Linked DNA regions of Danio rerio. Each later gene encodes a partner of the first gene's protein in a complex. Links are inferred from orthologs where the notes say so. Each region holds a gene or a part of one and is shown on either strand. Other genes may lie near its edges. The genes, in order: os9 and ube2j1.

Region 1 (3,538 bases):
ATGCCGGCTCTCTCTAGCTGCTCTTTGACCACTTCATGAATCTGCTGCCACTGGGGGTCGCCCTCGCCCAGTTCCTGCACCTTCACACCCCCCTCATCATCATCACCATCATCGTTGCCCCCGGTAACCGCTCCTGCAGCCACACCTCCGCCCACCTTATACTTAGTCACCCTGACTTTTACCTGCTCGCCGCCGCCGCTGCTGTCCGCTTGGGTGATGTGAGACAGAGGGAAGGGTAGGGTTACCGCGAGTACATCGCAAAATAAAATCCCCCTGCCCACTTTGTATTACATCAAAAGACAGAGTTGCACAGCAGTATGGCAATGTGTAGAATTAAAAACAGCGGTGACAGTGATTTCATCATGAACATCGTTTATACAGTGGCATCTAAAAAGTATTTTGACTGCTGATCATTGAAAATAAGTAAACAAAAATACACTACTATTGAATAGGTTGAGGTCTATGGAAGCCCATTCCTGCCACTGAATAAAAAAAAAATACTAATAATAAAAAAAAATTATAAAGTCAGAATTCTGAGTTATAAAGTCGCAATTCTGAGTTATAAAGTCGCAATTCTGAGTTATAAAGTCGCAACTCCGAATTATAGTCAGAATTCTGAGTTATAGTCACAATCCTGAGTATTTAAGTCAGAATTGCGAATTATAATTGCGTTTCCTGTTATGCCAACTGACCATAAATGCAGTGTTAAAGATGCATGCACATTAGCTCATAATCAAAACATAAAGCCTATATCCAACTTTTTATTGTTTATTCTGACTTAAAAACTCACAATTCTGACTCAATAACTCTGAATTCTGACTTAACAACTCACAATCCTGACTTAACTCGCTATTCTGACTTTATAACTCGCAATTCTGACTTTATAACTCACCTTTCTGACTTAACTCTGAATTCTGACTTAATAACTCTGAATTCTGACTTAAAAACTCGCAATTCTGACTTAATAACTCAGAATTTTGACTTAACTCAGAATTATTACTTTATATATTTTTTTTCATTGAACTCATTCTTTATTCAGTGGCCAGAACGGGCTTCCATAGAGGTCAGTAGGAATGAATCAAAATACTTTAAAAAATATTACAAAAGATTTTGTTTTAAAGAGGCAGTTAAGTAAAATGAAAATATCTGTCATCATTTACTTTTTCTCAAGTGGTTTAAAAATGTATAATTTTTTTTCTGAAATGCACAAAGGAAGACATTTTGAAGAATGCTGGAAACTGGTAGCCAACTACTAAACATTTTTTGGTAGAACTATGCCTTTAAAGCAGCACAACTATTTTTGAAACTGATAATAATAATAATAATAATTGTTTCTTGAGTAACCAATTTCTCATTTGTCATGTGGCAATTCAATTCAAACTCCAGAAATAAATTATATTTAATTAAATACATACTAAAACAGACTGTTCTGTTTTTTATTGTATTTTAATTAAATAAACAAAGCCTTGATAAGCAAGATATCCTTTCAAAACCCTAAATCAAGCCAATCCCAAACCTTCAAATAGCAGTGTATCATAAAAAATTACAATAAAAAAAATTATTAATACTTGGCTCGTCACTATAATCAATACATAGACTTGACGTCAATAATTTTTGGTGATGCAATATATATGGCTCATACATAAAAACTAGCAACATTTTAGCTGTTTGCCCAACCTCTCGATCTGTATTGAAGGTTTCAGTGTCAGTATAGTTAAAAACACTATAGTATTAACTATAAATTATTTGGTGTCTGACAAATGAAAAGAAATCTGGTAGCAGATATCACAGCCTCTGTTACTTTTTGCATTGCACATTTTGTTAACATTTACTATTATTTAATTGTTTAGGAAACACGTTTTCACATTCCATTCTGATCGCAATGCCTCATTATTAAAATGTCTGTAATTAAATAAAATATTCCTAAAAATAAAATATGATGTTTTCTTTGGAAGAGTGTACTTGCATTGCAATAATATTATACTGTCATTCTGGGATTATATAATGAGTGGCATAAAATGATCTTAAAATTACAATATAGTTTCGCAATATATTTTGCCCTACAGCACCTTGTCATCCTTTCCAGTTGTAAGAGCAACAAATATAAACTTGACTTCTAGTTTATCATTTGGAAAAGTAGCAGAGGATAGATTTTTCTGTTGAACTGCATCTCTATCATCACAAATACTGCAGAAGACCTATTGGAACCTGCATGGACCCAATATTTTCATAGAAATCAGACAAGTTTGGCGAAGGAAAAATCATGGTTTGGGGTTAAATTCAGTATTGGGCGTGCAAGAGATCTGCAAAGTGGATGGCAACATCAACAGCCTGAGGTATCAAGACATTTGTGCTGCCAATTTTATTGAAAACTAGAGGAGAGGGCAAATTCTTCAGCAGGATAGCGCTCCTCATACTTCAGCCTCCACATCAAAGTTCCTGAAAGCAAAGAAGGTCAAGATGCTCCAGGATTGGCCAGCCCAGTCACCAGACATGAACATTGAGCATGTCTGGGGTAAGATGATGAAGGAGGCATTGAAGATGGATCCAAAGAATCTTGATGACCCGGGAGTCCTGCAGGAACGCTTTCTTTACCATTCCAAATGACTTGTGTCAGTGCAGTCCTGCAAGCTCATGGCAGTCATACACTATTTTAATTCTTTTTTCACTGCACCATGACTTTATTCTATACTGTACATTATTTCTGTTAAGTGACAAGACTTTTGTCTAAGCAAAGTCAGACCTTACTGTCCTAATTAAATAATTAAAAATCAAGTCATGATCATATTTTGGTAAAATAAGCGTAATTTAGAGGCCTTTGCCTTTCATATAAGCCACTTCTGATACTAAACAATCAACTAGAAGTCAAGTTGTTATTTGTTGTTCCTAAAACTTGGATAGGCAACACGACTTTTGTCAGATAGTGTAAATCGTACAACAGAAAAGCAGATATCATGACAGGCATAATTAATACTTAATAATTTCTCTTTGAAATCAGTTAGAAAAAATTATTTGCCATTAATTGAAATGGTCTAGCATCAGTTGTTTGTTGATGACTACTTTTTTGAGCCACTGTATAATGCAAAAATACAAGCCATGCACACACAGACATTATACTATATATGTATAGTATAATAAGCTCATAAGCAGATTCTATGAATGCTTGGGGTGCACAGATGAAAGTTAGAGACATTTTAATGAGCCATCCATTCTACCATCTGTTCGCTCATGCACCTGTTTCCCCTCTGAGGTCTCTATATTTACCTGGTGTTTTGGGAACCAGATTTGGGTTGCCAGAAGAAGAGCCTCCCTCTGTTTTATGCGGTGAATGTGTGCTTTTATCCATTTCTGCATTTTGTTCTGTTTCTGCTTGACTCTTATGTTCAGTCTTGTCTTCAAGACGGTCCAGAAGTTTCCCTAGTGTATTTTCTAGAGTTTGCGTAGCCTGAGAACGATCAAACTCACCCTTAAGGCCTTCATTTTCTAACTCCTGCTGAGCCTAGAAGATTAAAACACAATAAGACAATGTTCACTGACA
Region 2 (2,513 bases), on another chromosome or scaffold:
ATAAATGTCACTTTATTTGTTAATGATTATGGCCCATGTGATGATTTAAAGTGGCGCAGATTTTTTTTAAATGCACATCTCCGCCCCTGTTTTTTGCGTACATCATATTTATAATTGAGACCCCATGTGTAAACAGCCCCTAACATTCTAGATGCGATCCTGTATAGTTTATGCTCCATTCAGCCAGTTTAGTGTCTGTCAGCTTTGTGTTTTTGACTGTTTGTCTCCATCTTGTGTCTGAATAATGTGCAGGTTAGTGTATACTCCATCAGCTGTTTTAGTGTCTGTTGTGTTTTTGACTGTTTGTCTCCATCTAGTGTCTGAATAATGCGCAGGTTAGTGTATACTCCATCAGCTGTTTTAGTTTCTGTTGTGTTTTTGTCTGTTTGTCTCCATCTAGTGTCTGAATAATGCGCAGGTTAGTGTATACTCCATCAGCTGTTTTAGTGTCTGTTGTGTTTTTGACCGTTTGTCTCCATCTAGTGTCTGAATAATGCGCAGGTTAGTGTATACTCCATCAGCTGTTTTAGTGTCTGTTGTGTTTTTGACCGTTTGTCTCCATCTAGTGTCTGAATAATGCACAGGTTAGTGTATACTCCATCAGCTGTTTTAGTGTCTGTTGTGTTTTTGACTGTTTGTCTCCATCTTGTGTCTGAATAATGCGCAGGTTAGTGTATACTCCATCAGCTGTTTTAGTTTCTGTTGTGTTTTTGACTGTTTGTCTCCATCTTGTGTCTGAATAATGCACAGGTTAGTGTATACTCCATCAGCTGTTTTAGTGTCTGTTGTGTTTTTGACTGTTTGTCTCCATCTTGTGTCTGAATAATGCGCAGGTTAGTGTATACTCCATCAGCTGTTTTAGTTTCTGTTGTGTTTTTGTCTGTTTGTCTCCATCTTGTGTCTGAATAATGTGCAAGTTAGTGTATACTCCATTAGCTGTTTTAGTTTCTGTTGTGTTTTTGACTGTTTGTCTCCATCTAGTGTCTGAATAATGCGCAGGTTAGTGTATACTCCATCAGCTGTTTTAGTGTCTGTTGTGTTTTTGACCGTTTGTCTCCATCTAGTGTCTGAATAATGCGCAGGTTAGTGTATACTCCATCAGCTGTTTTAGTGTCTGTTGTGTTTTTGACTGTTTGTCTCCATCTAGTGTCTGAATAATGTGCAGGTTAGTGTATATTCCATCAGCTGTTTTAGTTTCTGTTGTGTTTTTGACTGTTTGTCTCCATCTAGTGTCTGGATAATGCACAGGTTAGTGTATACTCCATCAGCTGTTTTAGTTTCTGTTGTGTTTTTGACTATTTGTCTCCATCTAGTGGCTGAATAATGCGCAGGTTAGTGTATACTCCATCAGCTGTTTTAGTTTCTGTTGTGTTTTTGACTGTTTGTCTCCATCTAGTGGCTGAATAATGCGCAGGTTAGTGTATACTCCATCAGCTGTTTTAGTTTCTGTTGTGTTTTTGACTGTTTGTCTCCATCTAGTGGCTGAATAATGCGCAGGTTAGTGTATACTCCATCAGCTGTTTAGTGTCTGTCAGCTCTTTGTTTTTGACTGTTTGGTGCCTTCTTTTATTGTCTGCATGGAGGTTCTGGACAGAAATTCATATTTGACACTGACATACAACATATATTTACATTCTATAAAGCCCATAAAACACTTTAACCCAACTCATCCCAAATAGAGAGGGTTTATTATATAAAAAAAACAAACAAACAATCCTGATAATACATATTCCAGCTAAAGGACTTGATAAAGGATTCAGCTAAAGGATTTGTCACCACTTATGGAATAAATGACCTTTTGAACTCTTTCTTGTCACTAGTTTGTGCAGCCTCCGCCCTAAAGGAAGGGTCTCAAAGTGAAAATGGAGGAGTCGAGTCTGATCAGAATACGCAGCATGTGCCTTTTTCTTCAAGAACTGTGAAAACAGTTTATTTATTACACTTGATTACCGCTCCAGTTTTTTGTCTACTCCATGTTTATAAATGAGACCCCTGTTGTGTAGTGTGGAAGTGATGGTGTGTCCTGCACTGATCTCCGCTCTCTGTCGTCTTCTGCTTTAGACCGAATCCTCATCTGTGGCTCCTCAGACATCAGCCGAGGATCCATCAGTTTCAGCAGCTCCCAGTCCGCGTCAGCGCCGCTCCCAGAACCAGTCCCCTAGATCCCCCGTGTTCCCGGCGTCCCCTGCACCCCCGCACCTCCCTCAGGACAGCAGTCGCACCGGCTCGGCCATCCTCATCGTGCTGCTCACGCTGGCTCTGGCCGCACTCATCTTCCGCAGGATCTATTTAGCGCACGAGTACAAGTTTGACTACGAGCTGTGAACTCTTTCCCAAGCGGCGTTCGCTCTGGCACCAGGACGGGACGCCTGTTTCCTACATTCAACTCTTCGTAAATGTTTTCACCAATCAAAAGGGGTGAATATTAGTACGCTAGGTACCATGTCAGGTCTTGATTTCACCCCGAAAACGTACCAAATTTACAAAATGATAGTTTTTTATTTTAATATTTT

The links.
Region 2: os9 (region 1) and ube2j1 share a complex: the UniProt entries of both Homo sapiens proteins name them as parts of the HRD1 complex. The link is inferred for Danio rerio from reciprocal best matches to the Homo sapiens genes OS9 and UBE2J1.

The regions. Positions count from the first base shown.
Region 1 is NC_133181.1:41,755,052-41,758,589, forward strand, and holds part of os9 (protein OS-9), read right to left. Parts: intron 3,500-3,538; coding exon 3,265-3,499; intron 209-3,264; coding exon of another isoform or gene 1-208. UniProt on the Homo sapiens protein: Lectin component of the HRD1 complex, which functions in endoplasmic reticulum (ER) quality control and ER-associated degradation (ERAD).
Region 2 is NC_133195.1:1,225,589-1,228,101, reverse strand, and holds part of ube2j1 (ubiquitin-conjugating enzyme E2 J1), read left to right. Parts: exon of another isoform or gene 1-448; intron 449-613; exon of another isoform or gene 614-1,690; intron 1,691-2,061; coding exon 2,062-2,325; 3' UTR 2,326-2,513. UniProt on the Homo sapiens protein: Catalyzes the covalent attachment of ubiquitin to other proteins. Functions in the selective degradation of misfolded membrane proteins from the endoplasmic reticulum (ERAD) and is essential for cells to recover from ER stress.